Linked DNA regions of Macaca fascicularis. The protein of the gene in region 2 purifies or fractionates together with the protein of the main gene of each other region. This does not show direct contact. Links are inferred from orthologs where the notes say so. Each region holds a gene or a part of one and is shown on either strand. Other genes may lie near its edges.

Region 1 (8,341 bases), on a different chromosome or scaffold from region 2:
GCCTGCAGACAGGCCCAGTGGCGCACTCAGCTCCCTGCCTGGAACACAGCCCCACAACCTGAGCCCTCCCTTGGGACCTCTGGCCCCACTCCCCGGGCCGTCAGCTCCATCCAGCTTCCCTCACCTTCCCCGTTCAGGTGGTCATCACCTTCAGACACAGTGGTAGAGGCCTCCTCATGTGCTGGGGTCACTGGACTCCAGTCCTTCTACTGTGTGAACCCACCAACCTCACCTCTGCTTAAATCCCACTGTTCACATCCAATACCAGCTATCACAGGGCAGGGAACTGTGCCGCCTGGTCCTCCAAAAAACCCTCTTGCTAGATTCCCAACTGGGTCCTCACAAAGATTCTGGCCAATCCCACACACATACACCCATGTTCCAGACCCTGCCACCTCTTGGCACCAAACATCTTGAGAGTCACAATCATTTCGACCCCTTCCCATCACAACGTCCGCCCTTTCTGCACCGGCAGGAACAGCTCCCTCCCCGTCATCAGGCAATCTGGCCACATGGCTCCCACCCTCCCTAGCATTGCTGGTCCAAGGAGTTGCTCTTCCTAACCTGCTTTCTCCCAGGTCACCCAGTCATGGCTGCCGCAGTCTTCACAGCTCAGTGGACTTTTCCAGAGCATTTGAGCACCTCCCACCAGATCCCTCTGGCCGCTCTCCCCATCTACACCCTCAATGAACCAGTTCTGCTCCCCGAATCTCCCCAGCTCCCAGATGATTCAGAAGCATAGGATCAGTTCACTTACATGTGAGCAACAGACGTGATTTAATGGTTTTCTCTGACACCTCTTTGCCCCCTGCCCAACTACACCATAGCAGGACCAATGACTTAATGAAAAAGCAGTGAGTGAAATGGCAGGATCAGTCAGGCTGCGAGGGAAATTTGGCGGGGTTCTGAAAATCATACCACGGATAACCACGTGGCTGACCCAGCTGCTGGGTGAAGCTGCGTTCTTGCTGTTTCTCTGGTCACTTACCTTGGATCTCCTCCAGCTTGACCGTACTTGCCTGTGTTAAGGTTTCAGATCACTCCAAAGATGGAAAAATGGTTCATACTCACCTTGGACCTGAGAAATACAGACAAGCCAACTGAAGCCCAAGCAGCAAGCTGCCAGCAGACACATGTCCTCGGGAAGGTGGAGGCTGGGCAAAAAGCAGGTAGTGAGGACCGAGCAGGGAGGGCTGCCAGCCCCTCTGCCAACAGGACCAGAACCAGCCAATGCCCAGAAGGGAGGCTCCTGTAAACTGCCACATGTCGGGGACACACACAACACACTCTCCACATGCACAGCACATTGCTCAATGGTGAACCTGGGTCTTATGGGGCCTGAAACTTACCTACGAATTGGAGGAAAGAAAAAAAATACGTAATGTTTGCAAATTTTACCAAAACCTATGACCACGTGAGCACATTGCTAGGGCCCCTCCTAGGGCCTGGGGAGGGGCTCCAGCAAGTGAGGGGCCCTGAACCTTCAGCTTCATTGTCTTCATAATAAACCCACACATAGCTCACCAAGCCGTGACATCAGCTCTGTCACAGCCCCGATACGGTCTGAATGTTATGACCCCCAAAATTCCAATGTTGAAATCCTCACCCCTGAGGTGATGGTATTTAAAGTAGAGGTGATGAGACCACCAGGGCGGAGCCCTCATGAATGAGATTCAGTGCCTTATAAAAGAGGCCCTTACACCGTGTGGGGTTACAGTGAGAAGACTGAATCTATGAGGAAACAGGAGGTTGGACTTTCCAGACTCCAAACCTGGGAAATAAACGTCTGCTGTTTATGAGCCGCTCAGTCGATGGTGTTTTGTTACAGCAGCCCAAATGAACAAAGGCAATCCTGACTCTCAGAAAAACGCCTGGCACCCAGCAGGTGCTCAATCAATAGACGCAGACAAATGAGCTTCAGTCTTCATCCACTTTGGATAAATTTTCTTTTATTTCCATACTCTTTTGTGACATGTGTGGCACAGGTATTCGATCTCACGGGGATGTTTATTAAAACCCGCATTCAGAGGGTGTCCAGTGTGCTTAGGAAATGTGGGTTTGGGCACTCACAGGCCAAGTCTGGGGGTCCTCGGGGAAGCTACTCCTCCAGGTCACCTGCCAAGTGGATGTACTTCCTTCGGCAATGGGTGACCCTACCAGGACAAGGGGAACCAGCAGGGACTCGATGGCACCACATAGCAGCCACCTGTTCTGACAATGTGACACAGACCAACTAATGCCAGAGCCCAGGAGAAGCCACAGCAGAGCTGCCTGGGTTGGTGTCAGAGCAACAGGCGGAAGTGACTATGCCACCCCTGGGCTGTCCTCCACCAGTGGCTACTGTGTCATTCTGGTAAAACTATGATGCCATGAGACTCTGAAAAACCGAATCACTGCAGAGACAAACTCATAAAAATTAAAACCAATCCATAAAATTGTATCTAGAAACTCTGTCCCTGGTGCCAATAAGCAGCAAAGTCAACAAAGAGTAAAAACTAAAACTTCAACACATTATTAAAAAGCAAAAACTGGACTCAACTACAATCACTTCTGGTTAGTCCACTAGTGAGCCCAAAAGTGACTTAAAAGTAAAAATCATTATTAGCAATAGATTAATAATATAACTTCATTGAGAGGTCAACATTAAATGAATAGTTCATTAAAAGTTTTCTGTTTAAAAAGAAAAGGAAAGGCCCAAATTGCCATTTCAAGGCAGAGCAGGCGAAAGGCCTGGAACACTCTGGTGCACTCACTGTCGGCTGCTGAACAGGGAGCCCAAGGCCAGCAGGATGGAGGGCGTGACCGAGGGCTTGGAGGAGGTGGTGTACTGGATGAGATACTCCGGGTAGACCTGGTGTTTCTCAAAGATCACAAAGATGGATGGGTCAGACACGCTGTTCACGCAGCTATCATAGAAGGCGTTGCTCCGGCCCTCCTTGGCTGGGGGGCGGACAAAGGAGGCATTGCCCCTGACGAACTCGCCCACCAGCACCCGGGCCAGGAACATTGTGTGGGTCTGTGTGTCGGATTTGCTGTAGTGGTGGGAATACGCAGCATCTCGGGCAAAGTAGCTCCCTGAAATGACACACAAGGGTTCAGCTGGGTGCCTGGTGGAGGGGCCCGCAGCCAGGAAGGGTCAGCCCACTCCGGACAGCGTCCTGGTGATGTGCAAAACCAGGGGCCTCTACTCTTCCACCCTGCATCTCCCTCCCTCCCTCCCTCTGTGCCATGTCTCCACTCTCCCTCATGAAGTCACACGCATCAGTGACACCAACACCCTTCTGAGTGGCAGCATCTGAGGAGTTACTAAACTGAGAGCACAAACTCCTTTCAAGTTCCAGATCTGCCCCACAAAACCTAAAGGCCTCTGGACATGTCACTACTTAATCCCTAAAACCTCAGATTCCTCAGGCATAAAATGGGGCTGTTCAGCCCAACCTCACAGGGTTGTCATGGAAAACGAATGAGATCCCATATGTGGAAGCAGTCTGAAGACTCCGGCAGCCCAATGAATAGAATTATGAGCCTTGTCAAATGGAAACCTGAGTTGGAAGCTGTCACCTATACATTTGAATTCACAAGTCTACCACTGGCTGCTGTCCATCTTGACCCCACGCCATTGCTACCTCAGATGGGAACTGACTGATGGACCTGGAACATGGACTGCTGGGCAGAAAATGTTCTCGACTTGGTAAGCATAATGTGGTTACAGAAGATAATGTCCTGTTCTTGGGATGTGTTAAAGGGTGAAAGGAGACAATATACGCCACCTACCTGAAAATGGTTCAGAAAGAGAGAGAGGGAGAGAGAAAGAGAGAAGTGGCAACATGTTAAAACCAATGAATCCAGGTAAAATGTACCCAAAGAGTTTTTCTTTACTATTATTATTCCAATTTTCTTGAATTTGGAATTATTTCCAAAGAAATAACATTTTAAAACTTTCTTTGGCAAGTTTAAAAATAACTAAGAAGACAAGAAAACACTCAGATAACTCACAGGATAGCTAGAATACATGTTTACGTGAGTATCTCTGAGGGTTTCTGGTTTCTATTCTAAGGAAATCAATAGTAAAGGCACAGTCAGGGACTTGATCAGGGCTGGGAAGGTATCCCCTCTCCTCTTCCATCTCTGTCACCATCTTCCAGGGCCTCTGCTCCACAAGGAAGCAACACACCAGCCTAGGCAGGCCACCCTGCCCACGTCTGGGGTCAAGCTCCTGGTCATGCCCAGAGAAGCAAGAGCAAGGAGGTGGCTGGTAGCCATGCCCAGGTACGACCACACACAGAGTTTGAACCTGCTTATTGGCTCAGGCTGGTCCCCTCATGCCCTCTCGCAGTCTGTTCCTATGCAGGGGCGAAGCAACACGGGTTCTGCTGGTGGAGACCAATCATGACTTACCCTTGCCATAGGAAGTGCCATGAACACCACAGACCCGCCAGTCAAAGTTCTGCTGGCAAATGGCATCCACGAAAATGGCGCTGGTGCCATGGAACAGCTGCCGCTCGTCCACGGCCTTCCCTCCATTCTGCTTCTGCATCTGTCCTTTTTGCCTAGGATCACAGAAGAACGTGTGCAGCGGGAAGAGTGTGCCGGCCACCAAATACAGCCGGCCTGATACAAAACAACACATTTTTCCAAAATTCCAAAAGTGTCCTGAGACCAGGAGATGCAGGTCACAGGCTACCAAGACTAGGCCTGTGAGGCTCCAGCCACAAGCCAGGGTGTGGGAAAGAAGGGGGATCGTGGGAGCGGGGTGAAAACCCTCCCTCCACAGCTCCAGACTGCAGCGGCTCCCTGGACTCCAAAAGCAGAGCAGCCCTTGGAAAACGGGTACCATTTTCCCCAACCCCATCCCCACCTTGCTCCTGGATGGAGCTGAGCCCTGAGATGCTGTAGGAGAGTTTTGAGGCCCCGGTCAGTGGGTGCCCATCCTTCTCCTCTCTGTTCCCAGACTTCATCATTGTGCACAGAGTACAGATGACACTGCCCCAACCCCATGTGGGGACAGGTCAGCAAGACCCAGCCTGCCATGGTGACCTGTTGTAGGATTCCTCCCCACATAGACAAGTGAGTGGGCGTCCAAGGACAAACCAGTCCTCATGCATGAACCTAAGACCCCTGCTCTCCAGCCACAGCCTTGTGTTCCTGGGGCTAAGGGTGTGGTGGGCTGTACTGACCCATCCCACTGGTCTCCGGGAAGGCAGAATGGAGAAGTGAGAGTGCTGGCTTTGCCAGTGCTCATGAACAGGATCAGGTGGTACGCTCTGGGGAGCCTCGGTGCCCTCACCTCTACAGTGGGATGTGCTACCACACTGCCCTGGGGGAGCGGATGACGGACAGCAGACACACAGCTCCCAGCACACGGCAGCCCTGTCACTCTGCTTTTCCTGGAAACCCGGGCCACATGTGGCAATCAGCCAGCAGTGTGAAGGGACAAAGCCACCAGCCCACCAACAGCGAGCCCCAACGCACCACTGGTAGACTTCCCAGAGGGCCAGGTTCTGTACTCGCTCAATCTTCTGAACAAAGTAGAAAGGCAGCGTGCGGTTAAAGAGGTTCCAGACCTTCTGATACTCTTCCGAGGAAGAACTAAGGGTGATCTTCTGCAAGAGGTAAATGTTTTTAATGCATTATCGTCAACGTGCAGAATATAAATCAGTCCCTTCCCAAGGCTTCTTGTAAACATTAGAACTGCAGAAGCACAAATGCCCAGACAGCAGCAACCACACTCCCACCTCCCTGATGACATGGTCTCTCCAGGCACAGGAGACAATCAGTCCTCACGAAACTTCGTTGATAGGTTCTTGGAAACTGCAATTTTAAGTAAAACAACAAACTGCATGCCATAGGAACTTAACTCTTATGTCAGTTAGCATATGGGAAATTGGTTTCATCAGACAATATGTTGTTTCACTTTGAGTCAGTTTCCAAGAACCTACTGATGACGTTGAGGATTTACTATGTTTGCAATTGTAGTCACTTTGCTCCTTATCACTGTGAAACCAATCTAAAGGACAGACATGTAATGCTTAAGCCACCATCCTGGGTATCCCCTGGATGTCCCTGCTCTTCTATTTTTTGTCCCACACAGGCCAAAGACACAGGTTGGATTACATGGTCCAAGGACCACAGAGTTGTTGTCTAGACAAAAGTGTTGAACCCCTTCAGGTTCTCAGCACTTCTTGCCTGCACTGTTGGCATCTGTATGTGCCTTGTACAAGCTCAGTAAGTCCTCCCAGGACAGAGACCATCATGGTGTAAAGCTGAGTTGCACAGTGCTCCGCGGCCAGCCAGCCGGCAGACGTCAGCCCAGGTGCCTCACGCAGACAGGCACCATCAGATGTGAGTCTGCGTACTCTCCTGCACTCAGCACAGCTCCCACTGGTCAGAGCCCCTCAACAAGCTGCCGAACTCACTGTCCATTCTCCTGTCTGCTAGTCGTGAATGTCTTCCCTCCTGACAGTAACCCCCTCCAAATGTCCATCAGACTCAGGTCCTCCCCAGGCTTCTCTTCCTTCTCTCGCTTAGTAAAATTGGTATTTATTGGTTAAGCCCAGCCCAAAAGCTCCTTATTTCTGCCCTTTCTAGCAAATTTCACAGCTCATCCTCCTCCCTCCATAAGGCAACCCCTCCCCTCAGAGCCACAACCATCTCCTGGGCAGTGAAAAAACAAAACCCTCTGCAAAAAAAAAAAAACAAAAACAAAAAGCCCACATCTGTCACTGCCCTCCTGCCCCAATTAGCCCCAGCCTTACAGCTTCTTCAGTGTTGAGGAATAGCACAGTCTGTTCACACATACCCACCTCTACAGAACACGTTCCTGTTCAACCCCAGGCACACGTGTCCCCTACCTGAAAGCCTGGGTCTGGCAGGGCAGAGGAGTCCCAATAGTCTGGGATGCTCTTCGGGCCTGGAAACTTGGTATTGCTACAAAAATGTAAACAAAAACACGTAGACATTTTATTCTTACACAAAGCAAATCTACCATAGGTGGTCTCTGCTAGCCAATATCACCAGTCTTCAGTCTCAGCGTATCATATTTTAAGAGCAGGTAGAAGGCAAGGAAGAATGTTAACATAATACTCACAACATGAGAGCACTTTTATCTTTGCCTATGTAGCCAAACAGTCCTGAGAGATCTATTTCTCGCCTGTGTCCCAACTACCACACAAAAGGGACAAAAGGGATGGAGTATGTGGTTAAAACAGTACACACAGGGCCATAAACCTTTATCCACAATTCTGAAATTCTAAGAGCTCTAAAGACATTTTTTTAAGGCCTCAATGAGGTATAATTGACATTTAAAAACTGTTTTTATACAGCTCAGGAAAACCAGGAGAAAAAATGAAATAAAACATTTTTTAAAAAACCTAAGTGACATCAAAACTCATGTGGCAATAGAAATTTGACTGAAGTTAGTAAGAGGCCATTGTGGTCTGTATCTATCCTTCTTAAACTGACTATGCATATTCTTTACTGCAGAAATACTAATGTGCTAAAATATAAAGTGTCACGTGATACAAGCATCACATTATCTTTCTAAAAATAAATAAATAAATAAAAGCGGTTCAAAAGACATATGGCTCAAGGGTTCAGACACAAGGACTGTGAAACTATAATTACAAATCATTCCTATTAAATTTCAGAATACACTGTTCTTTCTAAATAGATCTACCTTCTGTTTCTGCTGGCATGAAACATATACCTTCATCCTGAGCCTCAAAGCACTCCCACAAATAACTTTCCTTGGAAAATGGCACAGTTCAAAAATAACTAAGCAAGGTCCTACCAGCAGCAAGAATCAGCCAAAAACAGACCCACAAAGACTTATGATGCTGAAATTATCAGACAGATTAAAAACAATTATTCCTCCTAGGTTTAAAGAAAAAAAAAAGACAAACTTTAAAAACATATGTAAAGAACAGAAAACTATAAAAAGACCTGGAAGATCTAAAAAAGAACCAAATAGAACTTACAGAAATTATAAGTACAATCCTTAATAATAAAAGTGCAGTGGACAGGCTTAACAGCAGATTAGACCAGCTGGAGGGAGAATCAGTAAGCTGAAAGATATGTGAAATGCAATTGTCCAGAATGTGACCCACAGCAACAAGGAAATGGAAAATGCAGGAAGGAAGTTGAGACATGGAGAACAGTGAGAACTGGAATATAATCAGAACCTCAGTGAAGCTCTAGGAGAGGAGAGAGAAGACAGTGGAGGCGATTTTCAAAGAGAACTGACGAGACGCACCAATCCGCAGCTTAAGAAGCGCGAAGAATCTCAGCCATGATAAATAAAAAGCACATACCTAGACACACTTTAGTGAGGATGCATAACTCC
Region 2 (8,341 bases):
CGTGTCATTCCCCCAGGGGAGGGATCAGAGCCTAGGCTCCAGACTTACCACAAAAGTGTCGTAAGAAAACCGGTGCCGGCGTTGGATGTGCTCTCTGAAGTTGGCGCTGCGGTAGTTGGGGTCTCCCCAGGGCATCGAGGCACATATCGGACAAACCTTTCAACACAAAAGCAAGGTCTTAAGCACCCAATTTCCAAGCTTGCACCAGCCCTCTGTAGCCTGTGTCTGGCCTCCTTTCTTCCAGGACAGCTTTCCTGACATACTGTCCAGGGCCAGTAACTCCTTCCTGTGCACATCAGCAGCCCAGAAAACATTGCAAATTTCCTACTCAAGTCAAATGACACGTGGGAGTGGGTAAAGTTCAAATCATGATACCACCCTTTCTCATTCCCTACTGTAGGCAGAGAAGTGAGTCAGCCTGGTGGGGGGCCTAGACTGGCCTTCCAATCCAGCACAGAAGACAATCCAAAAGCACGAGGAAAACTAAGAAAATAAGCCAATGAGCGATGTCCCAGGGAAGTAAAACACAGCCTCACATGCATCTTAACAAAGGAAATACTCAGGTAAGGGGGATGGGGCCAAAAAGCCCTCACGCAACAGGTTGATTTGGGTTTTGAAGATTGGGTATTTGGAAAGGCAAAGAGAACAAGATAGAGTGCTCCAGGCCAGGCACAGTGGCTCATACCTGTAATACCAGCACTTTGGGAGGCCAAAAGCGGTAGATCACCTGAGGTCAGGAGTTTGAGACCAGCCTGGCCAACATGGTGAAACACTTTCTCTACTAAACTTACAAAAATTAGCTGGGCATGGTGGCACACACCTGTAGTCCCAGCTGCTTGGGAGGCTGAGGCATGAGAATTGCTTGAACCCTGGAAGTGGAGGTTGCAGTGAGCCGAGATTGTGCCACTGCACTCCAGCCTCCAGCCTGGGTAACAGAGTGAGACTCTGTCTCAAAAAAAAAAAAATGCTGCTCCAGAAGAGGTAGCAGCACGGAGAAAAGGCCAGAAGGTGGCGGTTACTGTCAACACATGCAAATGACCAGACCAGTGAGCATGGAAAACTCATGCCAGGGAGAGAGATGACCTAAGTGCCCCCACTTAAAGGTGCAACCCTACCCCACAGCAAAGAGGATACAGTGATAAAGGGGACTGACATGAGAGAAATCTGGGATGGTAGAAGACTGAGTGGAAGAGGTGGACAGGCAGCTGTAGCTGGGGAGCTAGAACATAGGACGGGACTAGAGACTGAAAAGGAGATGGCTTCCAAAGGGAAGGGAGAAAAGCAGAGTTAAGAACTTGCAGAGGAAGAGGAAGACAGAACAGAGGGCCAAAGGCTGAAGAGAAAGCCTCAACATAGACAACATAATCAGAGGGATTTCAGAAGCCAAAGGAGGGCAAAAAGACAGAAAATTAGGCTGCCATACCAGAAAAGTTCAGCAATAATAGTATCCAACAAAATTATGAGTGCAAGTAACATTTAACCAAGTCAATCTGTATCTAAGAATTTAGCTTATAAACATACATAAATACAGGCAAAGATATGTTTCTCAAAATGGCCAGTTCTATCTTAAGATGAGCATTGATAGCTGCCCTAGTACTCTCACAAAAGCTCATTAAAATTCTAAAATCTCTGCACCACTGTTTACAGCAATGGAGCTGAAGGCTGCCCATACAACAGAGTATGCAGTTCAAGAGAAGCAGTATGAGATAAATGGAAAAATTAAAACAAAACTATAGAGGAAGTATACACCTAACTATAAAAAAAGACCTAGTCTGTCAATCACATTGAGAGAAAGGTAACGCATTGCTGAGATGGAACAAATACTTTTTTTTTTTTTTTTTTTTGGGAGTTTCGTTCTGTTGCCCAGGCTGGAGTGCAGTGGCATGATCTCAGTTCACTGCAACCTCTGCCTCCCGGGTTCAAGCAATTCTCATGCCTCAGCCTCCCAAGTAGCTGGGATTAAAGGCGCGTACCACCATGCCTGGCTAATTTTTGTATTTTTAGTAGAGATGGGGTTTCACTATGTTAGCCAGGCTGATCTGGAACTCCTGACCTCAAGTGATCCACCCGCCTTGGCCTCCCAAAGTGCTGGGATTACAAGTGTGAGCCACCGTGCCCGGCCTATGTTTTTTTTTTTTTTTTTTAAAAGGAGACTACACATGCCAGTCAGTGATATCTGAGTAAAATGTCCAAGGATTGATAAGCCTTTTCCTAATAATTTCACCTAAATCCTCTTTCCCCACAAATACGAAGAAGTTACTTCCAAAAGCTTCATGGAGAAATTTGGTGGATACCAAGGGATCCAAGTTAATGTTAGCAACAATAGACATCACATGACTTAATGTAGCACCCAGAGAACTCATGTACCATCCCTGCCTCTGCTTTGGGGGGAGGGGAAAATTGCTATGAAGGACATTACCATTGTTAAAATTAAAACATGAATTTTATGTTAGATATTAGATTGTATCAATGTTAAATTTCTTGAATATGATTATACACACAAAAATATAATTTTCCAGGAAAACACTCTTGTTCTTAAGACATACACACTACTGTATCAGGGTGCAAACTATTCAGGGTGCAAAAAAGTCATGGTATCTGTAGCTTATTCCCAAGTGGTCAGCAAAAAGTGTGTATTATAGAGCATGGTTAAGCAAATATGGTAAAATGTTAACAATCTGTGAATCTAGGTGTAGGGCACACAGGAGTTCATTTTACTAATCCCATCATTTTTCTCCAAGCTTGATCCTTTCCCATAATAAAGTTTAAGAGAAAAAAAAAAAGGTTACTCTTACCACAGATTTGGTATCCGTGCTATGGAATAATTTGCAGTGTTCCACAAGTCCTTCCTGATCAAAGTTCTTCTCAGGACAGTAAGGACAAGGAAAGGTGTAACGGTTTGGAACATTCCTGGAAGGTGAAAGACAGGAAAAAAGAACATTTTTCTGTGAGTACCTTTCCATTAAACTTCAACCACAGTACACTCCCAAAAGGAGCAAAGCTCACCGAATGTGTAACGACAAGGACGCTGATGATCACTTTAGACTCAGATCAAGTGTTCTGAAGACAACAGCTCAGCTAGCCGGACATGGTGATTCACACCTGTAATCCCAATAGGCCAAGGCAGGAGGATCACCTGAGGTCAGGAGTTCAAGACTAGCCTGGCCAACATGGCGAAACCCTGTCTCTACTAAAAAATATAAAATTTAGTCAGGATTACTGGCAGGTGCCTGTAATCCCAGCTACTCGGGAGACTGAGGCAGGAGAATCTCTTGAACCCGGGAGGCAGAGATTGCAGTGAGCTGAGATTGCGCGACTGCACTCCAGCCCAGACAACAGAGCGAGACTCCATCTCAAAAAAGAAAAAAAGAATAGCTCAGCTAACATCTGAAGTGAACACCAGAGTCCTCCCTTGCATACTCCTCCCAAAATACTTGTATCAGCTTTAGCCAGCATAACAATTCATACAACTAAACCCCTGACCATGCAAGGTGTCCAACCTCTTTGTATTAATAGCAAGAGATGACCTCCACCTAAGGGGAGACTGAGTCATTTACCTTGGCTGAAGAGATGCATCCTTAATGGTGGCCTTCACACCTTCCATGATGTAATTCTGGTATTTGGAACAAGTAGCCACGTGGGACCGGATCTTGGATAGGAAGAACTCAAATAGGAAGAATCAGAGCCCACAAGTTAGTGAGGACCTTGTAACAGGCCAAATGTAGTCCCAAACAAGGGCGCAAAGAAAACTAGACCTACACCACCCTGGCAAATAATCTCACCAGACTCCTGACTATGCTGATGGGGCTGAAACCCTGATTATTGCAGATTTCCCATTAATAACAAGGCTGCTATTTTATTTGACTAAATCAGGATATCCGCTTCCACTCTAAAATAACTCTTCTAGAGGTTTGCTCCTATTCATGACAGGCTGTGTGCTCACAGACAAGTTCCAAATCTAGGATGTTGTTAAAAGTTTTCTATAGTAGCATTTAAACTAGTCTCCTTATAGCAAACCAAAAACCACGTTCTGTTATGTGCAGCAGAGAAAAGTGATCATTTAGGTAAAACGTATAAAAGCCACCAACCCTGATTAAAGTATCAATCACCAGACTCTGAGAAATAATCTTTAAAATCTAAATTCTTTTTTTTTTTTGAGACGGAGTCTCACTCACTCTGTTGTCCAGACTGAAGTGCAGTGGCACCATCTTGGCTCACTGCAACCTCCGCCTCCCGGGTTCAAGTGATTCTCCCACCTCAGCCTCCTGAGTAGCTGGGGTTACAGGCGTGTGCCATCATGCCCAGCTAATTTCCATATTTTTAGTAGAGATGGAGTTTCACCGTGTTAGCCAGGATGGTCTCGAACTCCTGACCTCAAGTGATATGCCTGCCTTGGCCTCCCAAAGTGCTGGGCTAACAGGTGTGAGCTACCATGCCCAGCCCAACCTTTCACATAAAATCTAGGCTGTGCAATAGTAAAACAGAAAGAGAAGAAAACCCAGAGAATAATGCTTCATTACAGGTTTTCTAAAAAGAAAGAAAGTTTTAAGAATTGAAGAAAAGAGGGAGGAAAGAAAAACATTTTTAGAGGCATGCCAACCATACAATAACTAATCTTGAAAATGGAGAAAAGCAAAAGCACACAGTAAAACAAACAAAAAGCCCATCATGGGTGGAGCGTGGTGGCTCACACCTGTAATCCTGAGGGAGGCTGAGGTGGACCATCACTTTGCACTCCCAAGTTTCAGATCAGCATGGGCAACATGAAAACTCTGTCTCTACTAAAAATACAAAAAAAATTAGGTGGGCGTGGTGACACATGCCTGTGGTGCCAGCTACTTGAGAGGCTGAGGTGGGAGGATGGTTTGAGCCAGGGAGGCAGAGGTTGCAGTGAGCCGAGACCACACCATTGCACTCCAGCCCGGGCAACAAAGTCAGACTCCGTCTCAAAAAACAAAACAAAACCAAACCAAAAACCACATTATGCATGCATAAATAAAGATGAAGAGACCGGGTGCAGTGGCTGACACCTGTAATCCCAGCACTTTGGGAGGCCGAGGTGGGCGGATCACAAGGTCAGGAGATCGAGACCATCCTGGCTAACACGGTGAAACCCTGCCTCTACTAAAAATACAAAACAAAACAAAACAAGAGATATATACATATATATGTATACATATATATATATCTGCGCGTGGTGGCAGGCACCTGTAGTCCCAGCTACTCCAGAGGCTGAGGCAGGAGAATGGTGTGAACCCAACAGGCGGAGTTTGCAGTGAGCCGAGATCATGCCACTGCACTCCAGCCTGGGCGACAGAGTGAGACTCCGTCTCAAAAAAAAAAAAAAAAAAAAAAAGGCAGTAGGAAACTGTAATTCAGTATCTTGAGTTTCTAAAAGTAAACTTCAAAGGGGGAAAAATGCTCCAAGATTGGAGCTCCAGCTTACCATGATGATTGTCTCACCTCCAGTTAAAGAACTTGACTTTAAGCTACAAACTGAGAAATCCCCAATTTTTTTTTTGTAGAAACTGGGTCCACTATATTCCCCAGGCTGCTCTCAAACTCCTGGGCTCAAGCAATCTTCCCACCTCAGCCTCCCAAGGAGCTGGGACTACATGCAGACACCACTACACACAGCTAGTTTTGTTTGTTGGCTTGTTTTGGTATATACAGTGTCCCACTATGCTGCCCAGACTGATTTCGAACTCCTGGGCTCAAGTGATTCTCTTACCTTGGCCTCTCCAAGTGATAGGATTACAGGCATAAGCCACCATGCCCAGCCTCAATAGTGAAGCCCCCAATTAAGATATAGAAAATAGCCCTATTCAGCATTAAAATGGTCCTACTATGCATCGCTAATACTAAATCACCCTGAAAAGGAGATGGTAAGGTATATTCATACTATGGGCATCCATACCGAAGTGTTAAAAATAATGAAACTGACATGCAAGGCTGTCCAATATGTAAGAGGAAAAAAAAACTGAAAGTGAAAAAAAAGTTGGGAATGAATGTACATTTAAACAAGTGAAAAAAGTTGAAGAAACATATATATTATAGTGTGATCTCATTTTGCAAAAATTCTACAACTGGGTTGGTAAACATTCTACAGTTTTTACCAACTTTTGGTAAAAATTTGTCAAAGGGCAGAAAATGTTATGTAGCTTTCGAAACTGAATCACTTTTTTTTTCTTGAGACAAAAAAAAGTCCAGCTCTATCGCCCAGGTTGGAGTGCAGTGGTGAGAACTCAGCTCACTGCAATGTCTGCCCCCTGGGCTCAAGCCATCCTCTCACCTGAGCCTCCCGAATAGCTGAGACTACAGGCACACACCACCATGCCCTGCTAGTTTTTTGTATTTTCAGTAGAGCTGAGGTTTCACCATGTTATCCAGGTTGGTCCAGAACTCCTGGACTCAAGCAATCCACCCACCTCGGCCTCCCAAAATGTTGGGATTACAGGCATGAACTACCTTGCCAGGCCTTAAATTGAACCATTTTAAAATAATCTCTGGAATGAGGAACAAGCCTACATTATTGTGTATTTTTGTATGGTCTGCAATTTAAAAAATTTTAATGATTCTAAAATCAACAAGGCTGTGAATATCTCTTGGAAAATAAGACAACAGTATTTCTCCTTTCCAGTAGCAGTTATAACACGTATGAAAATAAATATACTTGACTCTGATTATACAAGAGCATTTCAAATGTTAGCTATTGTTACTATAATCCAATGATTTCATATTGACTTTTTTTTAAGAGACAGGGTCTTGCTGTCAGCCAGGCTGGAGTGCAGTGGCATGATCATAGATCACTGTAATCCCAAACTCCTGGGCTCAAGTGATCCCTCCGGCCTCTGCCTGCTGAGTAGCTGGGCCTACAGGTACATACCACCACATCCGGCTACTTTTATTTTTTGTAAAGATGAGGTCTCACTATGTTGCCCAGTCTGGTCTCTTAACTCCTAGCCTCAAGCTCTTGTCTTGGACTCCCAAAGAGCTGGGGTTACAGGCATGACCCACCATGCCCGGCCAAAATTGATCTTTTATAGGAAAAAACTGGGATAACTCATTTCTATGGCTTTCAAAGCTAAAATATATACTTAACCAACTCTTAAAAAAAGAAACAAAACCCAGTAGGTTATGAAAACAAACCAGCCCAGCCATCACCACAGGTAACTGGCATGCACGCGTGCTGTTAGTGACCTAGTCATGCTCTAACTTCAGAAACAACATGGTAGCTGTACGTTTTACCCCATCTGATCATGGAAAGACACGGCCTCTTCCACATTACTTCCACATACATTCTTACGGCAGCCATGGCAAGAAGTCTCTGTGCTCTCAATCTGCCGCTCGAGCTCCATGGCTCGGACGCCAGGTGCCAGAGCGCTGCGACACACCCCACAGACAGGCTTCTTCGGCTTCAGACATTCCTGCAGGCATGCAGAGCAAAAGCTAGAACAAGACATACGGAGAACCTCTGTCACGCATCATGGAGACAAGAAAACAAATATGGATCAACTTTTAAAAAGACATCAATGGATAATGGAGTAAAAAACAACTTGCTCTCTCCTCCCAATTCAAATACTAAGTCCTTCCAGGCCAGAAGAATTGAGGGATAGGAGTGGACTACAAAGAACACACAACTACAGAAACAAATGCAAACTCCTGTGATATGCAGTGAAGGTGTTAAGGTTGAGGGTTCAAGCCTTAGGCCCTGCCACCGAGGGATCTCAGTGGGGTTTCTTTTTTTTTTTTTTTGAGGCGGAGTCTCGCTCTGTCACCCAGGCTGGAGTGCAGTGGCCGGATCTCAGCTCACTGCAAGCTCCGCCTCCCAGGTTCACGCCATTCTCCTGCCTCAGCCTCCCGAGTAGCTGGGACTACAGGCGCCCGCCACCTCGCCCGGCTAGTTTTTTGTATTTTTTAGTAGAGACGGGGTTTCACGGTGTTTCTCGATCTCCTGACCTCGTGATCCACCCGTCTCGGCCTCCCAAAGTGCTGGGATTACAGGCTTGAGCCACCGAGCCCGGCTTCAGTGGGGTTTCTTGAATCTTATTCTTTACTTTGTGAAATAGAGAGAGTAGTACCTACCTCTAGGATTGCTGGGAGGATACAGTTTGTATAGCAGACCCCTGGCAGAGTATCCAGCATGTACAAAACGCACTATAAAGGGGAGCTGCTATCATTAGAGGTGAAGGCAAAGCTCTACAGGAACATAAAGGGAAAAGCAACTAGTTGTGACCTGAGAAGGAAAGGGCTGGAAAGGCTGCAGAGACGGCTGGGCGCTGTGGCTCATGCCTGTAATCCCAGCACTTTGAGAGGCCAAGGCGGGCAGATCACGAGGTCA

The links.
Region 1: the proteins of RNF114 (region 2) and PARP12 purify together in Homo sapiens (affinity purification with mass spectrometry; 3 studies listed by BioGRID and IntAct, counting the BioPlex papers as one, with this or other methods). This does not show direct contact. The link is inferred for Macaca fascicularis from reciprocal best matches to the Homo sapiens genes RNF114 and PARP12.

The regions. Positions count from the first base shown.
Region 1 is NC_088377.1:181,706,284-181,714,624, forward strand, and holds the end of PARP12 (protein mono-ADP-ribosyltransferase PARP12), read right to left. Parts: intron 6,928-8,341; coding exon 6,852-6,927; intron 5,604-6,851; coding exon 5,473-5,603; intron 4,551-5,472; coding exon 4,399-4,550; intron 3,076-4,398; coding exon 2,750-3,075; 3' UTR 1,933-2,749; downstream 1-1,932. Other genes in the region: TBXAS1 (thromboxane-A synthase), read left to right, coding at 1,030-1,104.
Region 2 is NC_088384.1:106,025,099-106,033,439, reverse strand, and holds part of RNF114 (E3 ubiquitin-protein ligase RNF114), read right to left. Parts: intron 7,450-8,341; coding exon 7,299-7,449; intron 3,665-7,298; coding exon 3,558-3,664; intron 2,911-3,557; coding exon 2,796-2,910; intron 157-2,795; coding exon 49-156; intron 1-48. UniProt on the Homo sapiens protein: E3 ubiquitin-protein ligase that promotes the ubiquitination of various substrates. In turn, participates in the regulation of many biological processes including cell cycle, apoptosis, osteoclastogenesis as well as innate or adaptive immunity.